Macaca fascicularis: one gene and its partners. The protein of the gene in region 2 purifies or fractionates together with the protein of the main gene of each other region. This does not show direct contact. Links are inferred from orthologs where the notes say so. Each region holds a gene or a part of one and is shown on either strand. Other genes may lie near its edges.

The links.
Region 1: the proteins of BACH1 (region 2) and MAFF purify together in Homo sapiens (affinity purification with mass spectrometry; 3 studies listed by BioGRID and IntAct, counting the BioPlex papers as one, with this or other methods). This does not show direct contact. The link is inferred for Macaca fascicularis from reciprocal best matches to the Homo sapiens genes BACH1 and MAFF.
Region 3: the proteins of BACH1 (region 2) and FAM83D purify together in Homo sapiens (co-immunoprecipitation; 3 studies listed by BioGRID and IntAct, counting the BioPlex papers as one, with this or other methods). This does not show direct contact. The link is inferred for Macaca fascicularis from reciprocal best matches to the Homo sapiens genes BACH1 and FAM83D.
Region 4: the proteins of BACH1 (region 2) and MAFK purify together in Homo sapiens (affinity purification with mass spectrometry; 6 studies listed by BioGRID and IntAct, counting the BioPlex papers as one, with this or other methods). This does not show direct contact. The link is inferred for Macaca fascicularis from reciprocal best matches to the Homo sapiens genes BACH1 and MAFK.

What each region holds. Positions count from the first base shown.
Region 1 is NC_088384.1:13,395,987-13,399,640, forward strand, and holds part of MAFF (transcription factor MafF), read right to left. Parts: intron 1,502-3,654; 5' UTR 1,471-1,501; coding exon 1,435-1,470; intron 910-1,434; coding exon 451-909; 3' UTR 1-450. UniProt on the Homo sapiens protein: Since they lack a putative transactivation domain, the small Mafs behave as transcriptional repressors when they dimerize among themselves.
Region 2 is NC_088377.1:17,737,182-17,742,654, forward strand, and holds the start of BACH1 (transcription regulator protein BACH1), read right to left. Parts: upstream 3,480-5,473; 5' UTR 3,364-3,479; intron 2,942-3,363; exon of another isoform or gene 2,551-2,941; intron 1-2,550. UniProt on the Homo sapiens protein: Transcriptional regulator that acts as a repressor or activator, depending on the context. Binds to NF-E2 DNA binding sites. Plays important roles in coordinating transcription activation and repression by MAFK.
Region 3 is NC_088384.1:95,076,212-95,081,662, forward strand, and holds the end of FAM83D (protein FAM83D), read left to right. Parts: intron 1-2,297; coding exon 2,298-3,279; 3' UTR 3,280-4,053; downstream 4,054-5,451.
Region 4 is NC_088377.1:34,990,155-34,994,905, reverse strand, and holds the end of MAFK (transcription factor MafK), read right to left. Parts: intron 4,345-4,751; coding exon 3,910-4,344; 3' UTR 1,295-3,909; downstream 1-1,294. UniProt on the Homo sapiens protein: Since they lack a putative transactivation domain, the small Mafs behave as transcriptional repressors when they dimerize among themselves.

The DNA of each region.
Region 1 (3,654 bases), on a different chromosome or scaffold from region 2:
TGGAGGCATCTCTTCAGTGCAATTTCTCAGCAGGATGGCCTGTAAGTCACAGCCAGCCAAACCTAGCTCTGAATCCTGGGAGGGTTTGGAGGACATATTGGCACAATCAGAGCAGTTTCCAAGATGAGGGGTGCCCTCTTCTCCCCCAACAGCTGTTCTCTGAGCCGGCTCTGTATCTCTCAATCTAAAAAGGCTAAACTTTCAGCCAAGGGCGATCCCAGATCCAGACCTCTGTCCCATCCCCAACCTACCAAAGTTCCCCTTCCCAGGGCCATGCGGTCCCAGTTTTGGGGGCTGCAAGAGGAAGACAGGGCCCATGGAGGGAGTGTGTGTGCACCAAGGGGCCAGTGCTGCAGAGAAATGGGGCCTGGGCACAGAGGCGGCGCTCAGGCACTTTGGGGAGGGAGCTGGAGCCGGAGGGGCGTGGCTGGGGCATGGCGGGGGCGGGCACTAGGAGCAGGAGGCCGGGCCGTGGGCGGGGTCCGCTCCGGGGGCGGGGCCAGACCCCGAGCCCGGGGTGGACTTGACGATGGTGATGACGCTGGCTGGCGCCACGAGCGTGGTGGGCCCGCGGGCTGCGGCCACAGAGCGCGCGAAGCCCTGCAGTGCCTCGCACTTGCCGCGCAGCGCGTCGAGCTCCAGGCGCATGGCGGCGTTCTCGCGCGCCAGCTTGTCCACCTCGCGCTCCAGCTCCGACTTCTGCTTCTGCAGCTCCTCCTTTTGGCACACGCGCTTCACGCGGCAGCTGGCGGCGTAGCCGCGGTTTTTGAGTGTGCGGCGCCGCTGCTTGAGCCGTGTCACCTCCTCGGCCGAGAGCCCGCGCAGGTGCCGGTTCAGCTCGCGCACCGACAGCCCCATCAGCGCCTCGTCCGACAGGTGCGGCGTGTTCTCACTCAGCTCTCGCTTGATCTGCGGGCATAGGGAAACTGAGGCCCAGGGACTGGGGACGGTGCCCCGCTCCACACCTCGGTGTTCCTCTTTCACTGCCTTAGCCACCGAGGTGGTGGTTGGACTTGATCCAAAACCCTGAAGGGGAGCAGGAATCCGGGAAGGGGAAACCAGGCCAAACTAGGATCCGGACACAAAAGGAGGCCACCCCGGGCTCAACCTGAATTCTAACCTAGCGCCAAGCCCTGGACTCAGCCAGAGAAACCCAGCCCGGAAAGCACCTTTGAATGCACCAGGGGGCATTGACTCGATGGGGAAGGAGGATGGAGAGGGAAGTGACCTACCCCAGGGACATGCAGCCCGTGACCAGAGCCCAGGCCTCCTGGTTCCAGCCTGTGGCTGTGGCCCTTCCCTTGGGCATCATGAAGGCCTGGTGCCTGCTGAGCCACCCAGGGGATTCCAGGAAAGAAGGGGAAGTTGGGATGACGAGGCTCTACATGGGCAGGGAGGGAGGGCTTCATGGGTTAACAGAGGCTGCCTCCTTACCTTTAGAGCTTTGCTGGATAGGGGATCCACAGACATGTTTGCAGAAGGTGCCTTCTGGGCCGCAGACCTAGGGTAGAAAGGAGGTCAAAGTCACCTTGTTTTGTTTTTGTTTTCCCATTTAGAATAACATCCAAACTCACTACCTTGCCATTCAAGGCCTCTGCTATCTTAGAACTGATTCATACCTGCCACCTTCCTCTCTCCACATTGCTCCACAGGCCTCCTTGAATGGCTCTTTCCAGCCTCGGGAGCTGTGCACATGCTGTTCTCTTTACTGTTCTAGCTCCCCATGGTGACTCCTCATCATTTAGGTGTTTGCCCAATGTCACCGCCTCAAGAGATCTTCTTTGACCATTCCGGCTAAACGCCTCTTTGTGTCACATCACATAACCCTGCCTATTAACCCTTGTAACAGTCACCTCTTCTGCATTTCTTGTGCTTGGTTCCTCATCTATGATTTGTTTCTCCTTCCCACTCCTCCTCCACCAAAACGGAAGCCCATGAAGGCAGAGGCCTTGCCTGTCTCACCATGGCATCAATATGCCTAAATAAGTGCTTGGTATATAGTAGATGGCCCAGTAAGTGTGCACCAAATGAATAGATGTCCCTCTCCTGACCATTCTTCCACATGGGGCTTGGTCATGTGCCTTTGATTTGATTTTTCAGAACTTTTTTTCTTTTTTTGACACAGTCTTACTCTGTCGCCCAGGCAGGAATGCAGTCGTGCGATCTCGGCTCACCTCCCGGGTTCAAGTGATTCTCCTGCCTCAGCCTCCCAAGTAGCTGGGATTACAGGTGCCTGTCACCATGCCCAGCTAATTTTTTGTATTTTTAGTAGAGATGGGGTTTTGCCATTTGGCCAGGCTGGTTTTAAACTACTGACCTCAGGTGATACACCCACCTTGGCCTCCCAAAGTGTTGGGATTACAGTGTGAGCCACCGTACTCAGCTGATTTTTCAGAACTTTTCTTAAAGTATAACCTACATTCAGAAAAGTACACACAGCATATGTGCACCAGTAAATGCCTTCTTTTTTTTTTTTTTTTTTTTTTTTTTTTTTTTTTTTTTTTTTTTGAGACAGAGTCTCGCTCTGTCGCCCAGACTGGAGTGCAGTGGCCGGATCTCAGCTCACTGCAAGTTCCGCCTCCTGGGTTTACACCATTCTCCTGCCTTAGCCTCCCAAGTAGCTGGGACTACAGGCACCCGCCACCTCGCCCGGCTAGTTTTTTTGTATTTTTTTAGTAGAGACGGGGTTTCACCGTGTTAGCCAGGATGGTCTTGATCTCCTGACCTCGTGCGAGGATCCACCCGTCTTGGCCTCCCAAAGTGCTGGGATTACAGGCTTGAACCACCGCACCCTGCCAGTAAATGCCTTTTTACAAAGCCCATCTGGCACCCCATAAGATACAATATCAGCCAGTCCCCTCTCTCCCCAGGCCTCCTTCATCTAGACCTCTGTTTTGGAAAAGCTTTCCCAGCTGCCTGGGGACTGCCCCACACTAACTCAGCATGCCCTAGGCAGATGGGGCAGCCATCCCTAGACCACTGAGGGCCTCTCATCTCCTAATCCCCCCTCCCACACGCCTGACAGCCGCATGCTCCTTCAACAACTATTTATTGAGCAGCTACTCTTTGCCAAACATGTAGTTGGTAATGGGGAGACAAAGGTGAATAAAACTCGTGGAGGGTCAGTGGTCATTGCTCTGGGCTGGAGAAGGGGACCAACTCCCAAAGGCCCCTATAAAGCAGCAGTCTGCTTTGTCCCTAGCTGATAGGATCTACTCCGCCATTCCTTGTGAACGTGAGTTTTCTCATCTGTCTCCAAGGGGAGGGGGCAGTAATAAGAAGCCAAGGAAAATGAAGGAAGATAGGCTGGGTGCAGTGGCTCAAGCCTGTAATCCCAGCACTTAGGAGGCTGAGGCGGGCAGATCACCTGAGTTCAGGAGTTTGAGACCAGCCTGGCCAACATGGCGAAACTCCATCTCTACCAAAAATACAAAAATTAGCCAGGTGTGGTGGTGCACGCCTGTAGTCCCAGCTATTCGAGAGGCTGAGGCAGGAGAATTGCTTGAACATGGGAAGTGGAGGTTACAGTGAGCCGAGACTACGCCACTGCACTCCAGCCTGGGTGACAGAGCGAGACTTTATCTCAAAAAAAAAAAAAAAAAAGTAAAAAGAAAATAAAGGAAGATGTTTTGTGATCTGAGCTGTAGCATCCTA
Region 2 (5,473 bases):
ACCTTGGCCATCAGTACATTACCTCATTTGACATATATTTTAAAACAAAACAATCTCAAAAATCATCGTTCCACCACATAAAATAAACCCTGTTTAGAATGCTCAGGGAGTGCAGGTTTTAGGGTTAAGACAATTCTCTCATTAACAGAACATAAGTCAGAAAATTAGAAGAGGTGGTGATTCCTAAAACGTAAGTCATAGAGAGATCAGCACAATGAAGAGAATCTCTGACACGTGGTAATTTTAAAGGGTTTTGCAACTGTTATTCTGAGCATAATCTCTCACAGTACAGGTGTGTAGAAGCCACATGGCACATGAGATTTAACTGAACGGTAAATACCACCCTCACTGCCGCCACCCGCCACCAGCACTAGCAGGAGGTTGATATTCAGAATAAATGCTACTTTCCAAGGGATTCACTGAATCTGTCGTCTTATTAATCTTCATTAAGCAAGTGTAAGCTTGGCCAAAAAAAATACAAAAAAAACAAGACTTCGAGGAGTGACAGTACAAAGTAATTTTTACAGAATGTGTGATATACATATTACACTCTATATACATACTACACTCCAATGTGTGGATCATCTTCGAGTATTTCCATTGCACCTTTTTACATTTCACTGCACTTCAGATAACAAACATTTAAACAAACCAACCAGTGAGCTTGTCTCCAAATTCAAAATACAGGTTACCAAATGAAATTCTGTATTTTTTGTATTTCCATCCCCAATATCAACAATGTAACAAGAAGTTTACACTCAAACTTCTAATCTTTAAAGTAAAATATACAGACAAGATAACTACCTATAAAATAAAACTTAAATGGAATATTAAGGACAGTCTGAAAGAACTCTTAGGAGGAAACCATAAAAGAACAAGCATTCCGGTTGCTGAAAGAATGTTATTGACAGTGGTTAACAGGCTATGTTCCCCCAACAACAAACGGGTGGAGGGCATGCACGCGCATTATATAATATGAATGCGCTATTGTTAGTCTGTATTTTTAAGTTTAATGTCTTTCTTATATTAAATAGAAGGTTTTAAAAGTTTTAATATAGTGTTTCCACATGAAACTCCTTGTACCCCACCTTAGAGGCCCTAATACTTACAATATTCATGATTTCTAATCTCCTCTAGTCCCAGACATAAAGGAACAAATATAAAAATTTATATATAAAAAAGTTTTTCCTAATATAAAATGTTTTAAATGAACTATCATTAATAGGAATCATCATTTTTTCCACCAAAGGGTCAAATTCCCAGCTCTACATTGCCCATTCCTAAACTTTGTTTGCAATGAGGATTCATAAATATTTGGGCTGTGTGCTCCTTTTTAAAGCAAGAAGCAATGACACCAGGTGTAAAGGCAGTAGTGTCACACAATCAAGACAATGAGACAGGTATTTATGGTTGGCCATTCATTAAACAGCTCTTTCCAGACTTGACCCAATGAGACCTGTTAATTCCACCCATACTGTGCTTACCCTCCTCTGACTCCTGAAACTTCTTGTGTATGCATGAAAAGCCAAGGGTCTTGAGAAACAGCAAGTCCCCTCTGTGTACTCATAACCAAATTTTTATGAAGCACAAATTAAGCTCACTGCTTGAAATTTATAGACCACGTAACAAAAACCACAAAAAGGAAACTAAGTCCAGTAAGAGTAGCAAATATTTTTGTTACAATATTTTTTATTGGGTTACCCCTAGCTGCAAATTTCTTCCCCAGTTTCAGCTCTCTCCAGCGCAAATTTCTTCTCAGACAGCAGGTCACGAGACTCTGGGTTTAAACACCGCCTCAGTGCTATTGGCCACTGCCTAAGAGTGCTCTTCCACTTCACCCACCGATAAGCTGGATCAAAACAACCCCAGCTGGGTCCCCTTCAGCCTTCTGAAGCAACCCCTCTAGAGCGCTCCTTGGCCTTTTATAGTGGAGGCATGTGATGAGTATCTGCACCAGCTGTTTCTAATTACCTCTCAAGCTGGGGCGAATGACTCAGCAACCCAACTTTTTAAAGAGTCATCCTACCTTGTTAATCAACCAACATACTGAACAATAGTAAACCACTTGACAGAACCATAGGTTAAACAGCAATACAAGATTCACTACACCAAAGCCACCCTACTCCAAGCTGACTCACCAGGAGCCTTTCTTCCCTAACCTTCCTTAAGATGTCCAAAGGCAGAAGTGGCAAGTGCCTTCAAGCCAAGCCCAGCCCAGCCCTTGCACCACTACCCAAAGACCAGGAAGAAGCAAGCCTCTTCCCATTTCTCTGCTTGGCTATGTGAAGCGCTCAAGTGCTCTGCCACTAACACATCTGGGATTTCCACCCTTTATCCTTCTGAACTGCATTCAATACAAACCCTCTGATGTAAAGTGTGTTCAAATATGTGACCAAATTCCCATAGCATCCTCCATGGGTAACAGTCCATACCCCTATACAATTTTCCAAAAAGCAAAGCATCCTACAAAACATTCTTTGTTCCTCCAAGCCTGACACTGTAGCTCGTTTTCCCCATACACGTTCTTTCACAATTACTACTACACTTTACCTGGAATCAAAACAAGTTTAACGCAGAAGCCTCACTCCATAAAAGCATTCCGCACAATTCTACTCAATGACATGAAACTGCCGTGTAAGAATGAGGAAGCAACGGCACTCGTGTTACATTACACGAGCACAAAGCTGGTGTCTCCAGAATCAACGCCCACTCTCACCATATTGTGCGAGGCTTAATTACAACGCGTGGGCAAAACTCCAACAAAGGGAGTCCTGGGATCTCCGGTCCCCAAAACCAGTCTTCGCTAAATCCATCTCAGCACGGTGGCCTTCTCTCCCCAGGCACAAACTCGGCTTTTCTTACGCGATTCCACGCGCGACAGGCACCAGGCTGAGTAGACGCGAGGCTGGGCATAGCGGTGGGAGGCGGCGGAGGACAATACGGGGCCCCAGCCGCGAGGGCGGTGCTGATGTGTCACAGACCGGGCGGGCCGCGGGCGAGGGGCTGGGCTGGCGCCCGAGGGCGGGGAGCGGGGGTGGGGCAGGGACCCCGCGGCCCCTAGTCCCCGCCCGCCCCGGGTAAAGTACGGCGCGCGCGGGTAAACAACAGCTCCTGCCGTGCAGGGGGTTCGGGCGCCGACGGGACGCCCCTTCCGGCGTCGCGGCCACTTCCAGAATCCCGGCCGCCAGCGCCCCCAGCGAGCCCCGCTACGCGCCCCCCGCGCCCCGCCCAGCCCAGAAAGAGCCGCCCCCGGCCCGCCCGCGCCTCCCCCGGACCTGTCCGCGGGCCTCCCCTCACAGGCCCGCGGCCCTGACCGCGCCAACCCTCCCGGAGAAGGGCCGGCGGGACTGCCGAGCCACTCACCGGAGCTGAGGCGCGGCGCGGCCCGACTGACTGCAGCGAGAGCGCCTGGCGGGCGGCGAGGGCAGCGGTCAGGTGACTCACTCCTTCCGCGCGGCCAGCCGCCCCCTCCCTTCTGCGCCGCTCTGCTGCCGCCACCTCGCGGCGCCAAAACCCCGCCCGCCCGCTGGAGGCCCCGCCCCCGCCGCCGAAGCCCCGCCCCGCCCCACCGCCCTCGAGACCTCTGGCAGCGAACTAGCTAGCGCAACAGCGCGGGCCGGGGTCGCCGCGGCCGGAAGCCCGCGCAGAGGGATTGCAGGGTCGGGTCGTAAGGGGCGGGGCGGGCCTCGGGGAGGCGGGGGTGGGGTCCCCGGACCTCCGCGCGTGGCACAGCCCGCAGCCTGAACTGACTCCCACTCCAGGACCACCTCTCCTCTCCCTTCTGAGGGCAGAACAGAAAGGCCGAGCTCCTCCTCGCCCCGGGAGCTGCAGGACGCCCTAATTCAGCCGAGTCGTAGCGTGCCCGGGTGCCCGCGGATAGCAGGAGAGAGGACGGGCGCTGGCCCCACAGGGGTCGCTTTACCCCTTGAAGACCTCCTCGCTGCCTGCCCTGGGGGTGGCGGGCGCCCAGGTTCGCAGGGTACTTGAGCTTGCTGGTTGGGATGTATCAAGTGCGTCCAGGGTTTTCTGGAGCGCGTCTAGCAGTTGCTCTACTTCTTACTGACATGAAACAAGGGCCCCCACGACAGGTGTTCCCTTTTCGCTGTCGCTGCCAGGAAGCTTCCAGCCAGGTTCAGCGCCCAGTGGTGTCAGCCGGCCCATCTCGAGCCTTGGTTCCGCTGTCATCTTCTGGTGCTTATTCTGGTATTTATCCAACTGTCAATTTTGAAATTATGTTCCCAAGCCATTTAACACCTCTGGAGTTCAAAGCAGTGGCTGTCAGCGGAGAGGGATGCACGCGCAGCGGAGGGGACTGTGCACGCCAACCCCACGAGGGTTCCTGCGGAGATGGCACGGACCTTGAGGTCTGTAGCCAAAGGACGATTTGTGTGAAGGGGTTTTACTGTTAGCTTTGGAGCCAGTAACAAGAAGACAGCCGTGGAGTTCCTGGGGCAAAAAGGATACCAAGATAATAATTCAGGTATTATCGCTAACATGACTGCATTTGCACCCACAGGCTGTGGGACTTGAGGACGTTTGAGTTACATCCCAAATACATGAGAAAATCACGTAAGTGAAGTTGGATGGGAGTGCGAGGGGTGAAGTGATACATTATGACCTAGAATTAGGGGAGGCTTCCTGGAGCATTGTGTCTTAACTGGGGAGAGTGGAACCCAGCGGTCTAGATAGGGTCCAGAGGTGGGAGGTACCTCGCATCTCGGGCTGCCTCAGTTCTTGGTGGGAGTGCAGATATTTAGTGAAACATGAGCAAAGGACATTTGGAAATAAACCATGAAAGAAGGATTGAAGTTCTTACAGACACATGAGAGCGCCCGAGGCTTTATTCTCCTTCCACCCTGAGCCAGTGGAATTACAGTCTTTTTTCTACACCTATGCAGTTTTTTCTAGGGGAAGATCAGACCCTCCTCTTTGGGAGGAACTCCTTCTTCTTTAGATAATAGCCGTGACATTTTCTAGCCTGAAAATTATGATGTATGCCCTGACATGTTTAATTATTTGAGAAGCTCTCACAAAGGTATACCAATGTGCTGAGAGTATCAAGGCAAGTGAGTGACTCTCAAGCTTCAATTTGGGTAAGAATATCTGGTTTGCTTGTTAAAATGCAGATTCTGGCCGGGAGCAGTGGCTCATGCCTGTAATCTCAGCACTTTGGGAGGCCAAGGCGGGCGGATCGCGAGATGAGGAGATCAAGACCATCCTAGCCAACATGGTGAAACCCCGTTTCTACTAAAATACAAAAAATTAGCCGGGCGTGATGGCGCGCGCCTGTAGTCTCAGCCACTCAGGAGGCTGACACAGGGGAATCGCTTGAACCTAGTGGGTGGAGGTTGCAGTGAGCCAAGATCGCGCCACTGCACTCACTCCAGCCTGGCGACAGAGCAAGACTCCGTCTCAAAAAAAAAAAAAAAAAAAAAAAAAAAAAAAAAAAAAAAAAAAAGTTTCCTGGGTCCCA
Region 3 (5,451 bases), on a different chromosome or scaffold from region 2:
GCTCACTGCAACCTCTGCCTCTCAGGAGTGATTCCTGTGCCTCAGCCTCCCGAGTAGTTGGGACTACAGGCATGCCACCATGCCTGGCTACTTTTTGTATTTTTAGTAGAGATAGTGTTTCACCGTGTTGGCCAGGATGGTCTCAGACTCCCGACCTCAGGTGATCTGCTGGCCTTGGCCTTCCACAGTGCTGGGCTTACAGGTGTGAGCCACTGTGCCCAGCCTCATTGAAGGCTTTCAAAAGAATCTTCCTTCTCAGGCTTTGAAGGCAGTTTTCAGGGGGACTTTGCATTAGCCAGATTTTTGGTTACAGGAGACAGAGTTGACTGTGTTTTATGATCTCTATTTGAAACCTATTCCGGTACAAATACCACCATTAGTGGGGTGATGGCGAGTGTCAGCTAACTCTCAAACGTACTGACTTGAAGAACTTGGAAGGAAGCATAGGAAGTTACAGTTGGTTTTCAGTTCACCTTGACCTAAGACCCACACACTGATCAGAACACTGTCTCCTGATTCTGATGTTTTCGAGTTGATTTTTGTTCTTAGGTAGGCTCTCCCTTTAAAGTCAACAATCCTGGCTTTCTTTTTTTTTTTTTTTTTTTTGAGACAGAGTCTTGCTTTGTTGCCCAGGCTGGAGTGCAGTTGTGCGATCTCGGTGCTCTGCCGGCTCCGCCTCCTGGGTTCACGCCATTCTCCTGCCTCAGCCTCCTGAGTAGCTAGGACTACAGGTGCCCGCCACCACACCCAGCTAATTTTTTTTTTTGTATTTTTAGTAGAGACGGGGTTTCACTCTGTTAGCCAGGATGGTCTCGATCTCCTGACCTCATGATCCACCTGCCTCGGCCTCCCAAAGTGCTAGGATTACAGGCGTGAGCCACCGCACCCGGCCAGATCCTGGCTTTCTTACATGGTCTTTAGTCGCTGTCTCCCAAAGGGTGAAACACTTTCACTCAGAATTGCTATCAATCCCTTCTGTCAGAATCCATTTGACAAAGAAAAAAGAAATCTCTAAAAAATTACTTGGCTCGGGTGGGATTACATGCCCAACCTGAATGAATCCCTGCATCCGAGGGAATAGGATACTCTGGCCAGTCTGGACCATATGCCTGCCCCTATTGTGGTTGGAGAGAGTATGATAATGAAAGCTTTCTGGGGTACAGGTGGGTGTGAGTTCTGCTAGCAGACAAGGGAGGCGGGGAAGGGACACTGGACAGGCAAGGGCACATGGCCACTAATCAGCTCTAACATGTTTTGAGCCATGGTGTTTTGTGAAAATGGCAGCATAGCCCCATGACTGTGGGTCCTCCACTGTTAGGAAGACTGCTTCAACAGCCACAAGGACAAGCTTGAGGGCAGGAAGGCATGTTACCACTCAAACAGTAGCAAGGAGCAGGGCATTAGCAATTCATAGGGCCTGGGGCCTGATATGGGGTCCATTAGTAGCTCCCCACTGTGATAATCCCTTTATCTGGTTTCCGTACCTTTAAAATGGGGGTGCTGGCCTAGTTTTCTTACCTTACAATGGGGATGCTGGCCTAAATACTTACAAGCCCTACTTTTTATTTTTAATTAATTAATTAATTTATTTATTTTTTGAGACGGAGTCTCACTCTGTCATAGAGTGTGCAGTGTCATGACCTCGGCTCACCGCAACCTCTGCCTCCCGGGTTCAAGCAATTCTCCTACCTCAGCCTCCTGAGTAGCTAGGATTACAGGCATGCACCACCATGCCTGGCTAATTTTTTGTGTGTTTTTACTGGAGACAGGGTTTCCCCATGTTGACCAGGTTGGTCTTGAACTTCTGACCTCAAGGGATCTGCCCACTTTGGCCTCTCAAAGTGCTGGGATTACAATCGTGAGCCACCGCGCCTGGCCCCCTTTCTAGTTTTTAAAAACTCTGAGGCAAGGACCAGGTGAGGTGGCTCATGCCTGTAATCCTAGCACTTTGGAAGGCTGAGGTGGGAGGACTGCTTGAGCCCAGGAGTTCAAGACCAGTCTGAGCAATATAGCAAGACCCCATCTCAAAAAAAACAAAACAAAACAAAAAAAACCCTCTGAGGCTGAGCATTTAGTGTGTTTGTTAAACAGCTGGCCTTTTTACTTTTATGGTAACACACATATGTGTTATATATATGTTAAGGCTAGTTAAATGCATGCAAATGTTAGGTATTGTATCACCAAAGTTGTGACCCTTATGTGGTAAGATACCTGTGCTATATTATTCAGATGGACAGTGAGTAAACCAAAATTGCTCATCCTTACCAGCTGCTGTTTGTTTCTTTTTAATCCTTAAGTTTTACATGGACAGATGGCAAATTAAACAGCAGTAACTTGGTAATTCTGTCTGGCCAAGTGGTTGAACACTTTGATCTGGAGTTCCGAATCCTGTATGCCCAGTCCAAGCCCATCAGTCCCAAACTCCTGTCTCACTTCCAGAGCAGCAACAAGTTTGATCACCTCACCGACCGAAAACCACAGTCTAAGGAGCTCACCCTAGGCAACCTGCTGCGGATGCGGCTGGCTAGGCTCTCCAGTACTCCCAGGAAGGCGGACCTGGACCCAGAGATGCCCGCAGAGGGCAAGGCAGAGCGCAAGCCCCATGACTGTGAGTCCTCCACTGTTAGTGAGGAAGACTACTTCAACAGCCACAGGGACGAGCTCCAGAGCAGAAAGGCCATTGACGCTGCCACTCAAACAGAGCCAGGAGAGGAGATGCCAAGGCTGAGTGTGAGTGAGGTGGGAACACAAACCAGCATCACCACAGCGTGTGCTGGGACCCAGACTGCAGTCACCACCAGGATAGCAAGCTCTCAAACCATGGTTTGGTCCAGGTCAACCACCACTCAGACTGACATGGATGAGAACATTCTCTTTCCTCAAGGAACTCAATCTACGGAAGGGTCACCAGTCTCAAAAATGTCTGTATCAAGATCTTCCAGTTTGAAGTCTTCCTCCTCTGTGTCTTCCCAAGGCTCTGTGGCAAGCTCCACTGGCTCTCCTGCTTCCATCAGAGCCACTGACTTCCACAATCCTGGCTATCCTAAGTACCTGGGCACCCCCCACATGGAACTGTACTTGAGTGACTCACTTAGAAACTTGAACAAAGAGCGGCAATTCCACTTCGCTGGTATCAGGTCCCGGCTCAACCACATGCTGGCTATGCTGTCAAGGAGAACACTCTTTACTGAAAACCACTTTGGCCTTCATTCTGGCAATTTCAGCAGAGTTAATTTGCTTGCTATTAGAGATGCAGCACTTTATCCTTCCTATCAGTAACTACTCCGTATTCAGACTCCTGGTTTCTTCCAGGCTTACAGTGGACATCATCAGCTTCCTGCTTTAAAAAATATCTTACGTCCCTAATTGCCTTTCTTTTACCTGACTTTGTCACCTTTGTTGTCTTTGAATTCTATAGGCTGCATATTCTTTTACGTGCTTTGTTTTGTTTTTGTCATGTATGTACCAGGTATTGGTTTTACGGTTTAAACACTATGGATACAGGTTTATTTTTTTTTCTTGTTTTTTTTTTTTTTGCACAATTTTAATAGTCATGCACTACATAATGATGTTTCGGTCAATGACAGACCACGTATATGATGGCAGTCCCGTAAGATTATAATACCGTATTTTTACTATACCTTTTCTATGTTTAGATACAAATACCATTATGTTACAGTTGCCTACAGTATTCAGTGCAGTAACATGATGTACACGTTTGTAGTCCAGGAGCAACTGGCTATACCATATAGTCTAGGTGTGTAGTAGTTATACCATCTAGGGTTCCGTAAGTACACTCTGTGCTGTTTGCACAAGGACGAAGTCACCTAACAACACATTTCACAGAATGTATCCCTATCATTGGGCAACACGTGACTGTATTAATCTCTTAAGGAGAATGCTTAGGTGTTTAAGTCTAACTCAGGTGAGAGATGAAATATGTTTTGCATTTTTCTCAGGTTATATGCTTTTCCGCTTTAAAGGTTTGAATTATCAGCATTTTTGTAATCAAAATCCTATTTAGAAAAAATAAAACTACTTTTTATCTCTTTAGAATATCTGTGTTCTTAGCATTAAATAAATATAAACTTGTGTTTTTGTACTTTTTTCCCCCTTCTCTGACACTTTTCTCTTTAAATCTGGGAATATGTCACAAATAAATGCATCTAATAGATAAAGGTATATAGGTATCTATATCTGAAGGTTTTTAACATAGTGTCAGGGTGAGGAAGAAATAGATGATCCAAACTATAGAAGGGAAAATAGATCCACTTAACCTTCATTAGCATCATGAATGTTGATGTTACCGTATAGTTTGAGTGAGGAAACTGGCCAGAAATAGCAGGCCTTTGCACATGCTCTGCCTTTTCTCTTTTTGAAGAAGAAACCTGAGCTATTTCGGTAGGTCCTTGGCACGTTGGTACTCTGCTTGTCTACCAAAGGAGGCCTTAGTGTATGTTCCTATATTCATTCCCAATATTAACTCTGGTGGCCCCATGGGCCTCATTTCATCAGTTGGGTGTATTGACAGTGATTTACAATCTAATATCCTAGAGTAGGGGCAAAAGAGGACACTGACAATTATCCAGGTTTCCTGGTCCAGTGGCAGGCAATGTAACTGGTTTCTACACCCTGCTAATCAGGATTGGTATGGCTGTGGAATCCTGTTTTTGTCTCATTCTCATGGACAGACAAAAGGGAAGGGAGTTAAATGATGGCTTCCTCCCTCTCCTGACTTAGCTACAGCAAACAAGATCTACAGCAGGGGAAGGCATCTGCCACATAAACTGCTGATGCACTTGGATCATGAGTGCCCCTACACTCACGCCTATGCCAGGACTCCCTTTTGGTGGTCAGGTTATTTACTGGGTTAGTGCTGTAATCTGTGGCTGTAAAGCAAATGTAAGGAAATTGATCCATGTCTGCTTAGAAACAACTCTGAGCTAAGCCTCGAGTAAACATATTGTTACTTGAAATCATCTTGCAGACTTAGGTCACTTCATATGTGTCATCTTTGATCTTTGCAGCAATGTAGCAGAGAGCTATGCAGGTTAGATAGCTGTTATTTCCAATTTTCAGATGAAACTGAGGCTCTGATTAAGTAGCATATTCAAGATGGCATGGCTTGTAAATGGTGACACAAGAATTTAAACACAGGTTTCTAGATTCTAAGTGCAGTACTCTGTTATACGACTATTTCTTTTTTTTTTTTTCACCAAACTACGATTTATTTAGCTTTGTTCCCTCCCATCCAAGACTGCTGATCTCTAAACAAGCATCAAAACCCGAAGCTCATTAACATCAGAGTGAGCTTCAATAAGGTGAACACTACAATGATGTACAATTACATCCTCATAACTCAATGCCCAAGAGCCCTGTAAAACTATTGCAAGGCCCAGGGTTGTCACAGTGTGCAAATGCACTAGGAAAATCATTACCTATTTAGTCCCC
Region 4 (4,751 bases), about 17 Mb from region 2:
GAAAGGGTAGAAGCCCTGGGGGCCCTGGCCTGGCCAGGGTGCAGGCTGCACGGCTGGGCGGGGCGGCGTCTCCTCTCACAGCTTCCCTGTCTGTCCATGGCCTCCAGGAGCCCCACACGGGGCTGGGGCTCTGTGCCCCCAACTCACACCCACCAGCTCCCCCAGGAGGAGCAGGCTGGGCCCAGAGCCGCGGGGTGGGCCACAGGGGAGGTCTGACTTAGCTGGGGAAAGTGCCATCCCTGCCATTGCTAGTGACAAGCTCAGGCTGCTGTGGCCCCAGCACAGATTCAACCCTCGTGCCGGCTGCTGCAGTCACCTCCACGCCCACCTCACAGGAAGCAAGGCTGGGAAGGAGGGAACTGGCCCCAGGCCACACAGATGCTGAGAGGTGGGATTATGATCAGGTGCCATGGCTCATGCCTGTAATTCCAGCACTTGGAGAGGCCAAGGCGAGTGGATTGCTTGAGCCCAGGAGTCTGAGACCAGCCTGGGCAACATGGTAAAACACCATCTCTCCAAAAACATACAAAAATTAGCTGGGCGTGGTGGTGTATGCCGGCGGTCCCAGCTACTCAGGAGGCTGAGATGGGAGGATTGCTTGAGCCCGGGAGGTTGAGGCTGCAGTGAGCCGTGATCACGAGCACTCCAGCCTGGGTGACAGAGCAAGATGTCTCAAAAAAATCCAGCTTGGATTTCACCCTGCGTGGTCCAGCACTGAACGGCATTCACCCTTCGGTCAGCTCAGCCCCAAAAATGGGGCCGGGTGTGCCGGGGCTGCTCTCCTGGAAGGCCAGGCGGAGCGGCGACGGCATGTGGGCAGGCCCTTGGCTTTTCAGAGGAGTCCACAGGCTTCCAGCCACTGTGCAGGGCCGCTTTGCTCTCTGCTCCCAGACAGACCCTGTCTTGCTCACGGCTTCCTGCAGGCTCCTCTGAGAGTCCAGCAGAGCTGGGTGAGGGATCTCCTGGGGAAGGGGGACACTGACAGCCATGGTGCTCTCTGCTCCTTCCACTGGGAGAGGCTGCATGGACAGGGGGCTGTGGGTGGGGCAGATGGCGACACTCAGGACTGCGGCCTGACCCTCGGAGACTGAGCCCGGGACGTGGCCACCTAACCAGCACCTCCCCCGTGGCTGTCCCAGCATCACGGTCACGGGCCAGCAGTCTGTGAAAGCCACTTACACATGGTGCCCAGATCCTGACCCTGGTGAGGGACAGGCGGGGTCCCCTGGGATGGGGGGTGTGTGGTTCTTAGCCCAAAAAAGCCCCAGCCAAAAGCACCAACTGCACAACGAAAGAGTCTGAAACCAGAAAATTCTTTATTGCAAAGGTACAAAAGCGGTCACAGCAGCAGGACGCACGGCAATAAATTAGGTGGTGGCCGCAGGGACGGGGCAGGGCGGCGGCGGCCAGACACGGGCCCGCATGTGATCTGTTCTCAATAATTTATATCATGATAAAAAGCAGCACAAAAATAAATATTGAAATGGAACTGCCAAGTAGCACAGAGGCCAGGGTGAGGCGGTGTGGGGGCGTGGGGGGCAGGGGTCCCCACGCCCTGGAAACGCAAAGACCTGGATCTCTTTGGGAAGCCAGAGGCACAGAGACAGAAAACAAACCCACGCGGCAAAGAGGCCTTCGTCTTTTTCTTAAATAAAAAAATCCATATATTAAATCATGACAATGAAATTTCAACGATCCGAAAAGAAAAGCAGAACGCGCCGTGCTTCCCCGGCCCGGCTCTGGGCGGTGACAGCGGCTCCGTCCACCCTGGGGGCCGGGGAGTCCCCTCTCCGGCAAAGCACCACAGGCCGAGGGCAGGTGGTCGCCCACGGCCCATAAGACGTGGACACCAAGAACCCCAAAATGGGACAGAACCGGCCACCCGCTGCAGCCTGTCCTGTGGGGGCCCAGCAGCCTGGTGCAGTCCGTGGTGAGGGGGACGGTGGGCAGCCCGGGCCTCTGGTTTGCTCCCAACTCCCACCTGTGCCCGTGCCCCCAAGCTCTGCTCTGATAGATTTACAGTATCAAACTGGAAAAGAAAGATTGTTACGAAAAATCTGTAGATAAACTGTGAATATAATTTTATATCTCTATATAGTTTGTTTCTCTCTTTAAATATCCCCCTGGTCCTTATGACATCCAATATGGATTACCTACCATGGCCACGGGGGCAACGGCTGTTTGGGAACTCGCAGGCCTTTGCTCCACAGGGACCCAGTGGTCCTGGCGGGCCTGCAGCTTCCCACTCACTTCTAACAGTAGACACAGAACCAAGTCGCCGCCCCGGGGCTGTCTGTCCTCCGCCCTCCCAGCGTGGCTGGCACCAGCCTGGGCTCTGTAGCCGGTGGGGGTGTTACTGGATGGGCAGGGGCAGCCGAGAGGGAGCCGAGGCACCACCTTGCATGTCCTAGGTGGCGGCCCCCAGCCAGTGGCTCACATTCCGCCAGCTCCCCCAGGCAGGGGCTCTACGACCCCCGATGCAGATACCCCAGTCACAGCAGGGACCCTCAAGGTGGCACTCCAGGAAAAGGAAGCCCAAGGTGGAGTGCCAAGCCCACCAGTGCCTCGGTGCTCGGGGAAGGAGGAACAGGCGAAGGCTCCGGGCGAGGACTGAGTGCCAAGGCCACACCTGCAGCTCGTGGCTGTGCTCCTGGGGGTGTGCACGTGAGAGCCACATCCACGAGGCTCTCCTGGCCTGGTGCCTGCCGCCTCCCCACCCACCACGCCCTCTGGAGTGCCAGCCTCACTCCTGAGCTCTTGTATAAGCCAGCCGCATCCTGGTCCTGCCCCTCAAGCCTTTCCACCAGCTCTCGCACACGGCTCCCGCCTCCTCCCACCACCCAATGCAACGTCCTCTCCCTCCCACCTCCACGTCCACATCTACCAACGTCCCCCAAGCTGCACCCCCTCTCCCTAGACTGCAGCGGCCCTTCCCCTCTAGGCCCCCAAAAGACCTCCTCGTTCCCCCTGCACTGACCACAGCTGGTGAGAAGCAGCTCCAGGACACAGAGCCTGAGTCCTGCTCACCATCAAATGATGGGACGCTCCTGTCCGTGTCCGCTGAGGTCCAGGATGGCCTGCGGGGTCGGTGTCTGGGGGGCCGGCTCCCGTGGGTGGGGCTTCTGTGCTGTGCTGCACGACCTCCTCGGGTCACCAGAGCACACGGGAGACCTCACAACGTATGAGCCACTCTCTCTGCCACACGTGCCCACAGGCCCTCCTCCAGTGAACACCTGCCCCCTCAGCCCTGGTGCTGTGATGGCAGACGGGCCTGCACACACACACGTGCACACACACAGACACCACCCCACGCAGGCGGCCTCCCACACCGCGCACACTTGCACAAGCCCCTGCTAAGGCAGACACGGGTCACAGGCAACTGCAACAGGACAGCTGGAAGGACGGAGCTGCCGACGCACCATCCATGCTCCTCCCAGGGTCTGCGGAGTCGGTCAGGGCAGCGAGGGGCTCCCGCACCAGCTGGGAGGCCACAGCAGGGCAGGTGTCGAAGGCTGCTCCCAGCTGCAGTGGAAAACAAGCCCCACGCTGACCTGACCACAGGGGCCTAACTCCTGGGGCCGTGTCTTCTGGCAGCCCCCGCGGGGGCGGCGGAACTTCCCGAGGGCCTTTCTGTTATATGTCCCGACTCCCACGGGTGCAAGATGCCAATTCCCACACACAGACGCATCCTGTGGGGAGCAGGGGGCGGGCGTGTGTGTGGACCGGCACGCAGCTCTGGGCCCACGGGAGCCCACTCTTCACCCTGCACCACAGTCTCATCCTGGTGTGAGTCGCCCGCGCCTGAGGGGCCTGCGCTTGGACTCGGATGTCGAGAGTCTGCGTCCCAGTGACAGGTATGAGGGGCGCGCCCCTGCCCGCCTGCCTGCCGCTCCCCGCCCCCAGCCGGCACTAGGATGCGGCCGAGAAGGGCACGGAGGTGGAGGAGAGCTCAGCGGACTTGACGATGGTGATGACGCTGGTGGTGGCCACCTTGGAGGGCACCACGGGTCCCCGGGCCACGGTGCGCGCGAAGGTCTGCAGCGCCTCGTACTTGGAGCGCAGGGCGTCCAGCTCCAGCCGCATGCTGCTGTTCTCACGCGCCAGCTTCTCCACCTCCTGCTGCAGCTCCACGCGCTGCCGCTCCAGCTCCTCCTTCTGCGTCACCCGCTTGATGCGGCAGCTGGCCGCGTAGCCGCGGTTCTTGAGCGTGCGCCGACGCTGCTTCAGGCGGGTGACCTCCTCCTTGGTGAGACCCCGCAGGTGCTGGTTCAGCTCCCGCACCGACATGGACACCAGCTCATCGTCGCTGAGCACCGGAGCGTTCTCGCCCGCCTCCTTCTTGACCTGGGGACGGCCACAGCATGGGGTCAGCAGCGGGAGAACGTGGGGTGTCTGCCTGGGACCGGCACGGGGGTGGACAGGGACCCAGCGGTGCCCCTGCATGCCCATGCTCTTTTGGGGCTGGCCTTTGCCGTCCGCATCAGGGACCACAGGACACCATGCACACAGGCAGCCCACGTGACGGCTGTGGCCCCACAGGACCCTTTCTGAACAGGAGAAGCCAGCGGTGACATCGGTCACTCCTGGTTACCGACAGCCTCAGAGCCCACGAGGACCTGGAGCACATGGGTCCTGCTGCTGGGACTGAGCCAGCCCACAGGCATGCCCCATGGCAGAGGCGGCAAGCGCCAGGCACAGGTGGGCCCAGGCCCTAGGAGCTGGAGCATCCCATTCACCAGAGGCCAGTCTGC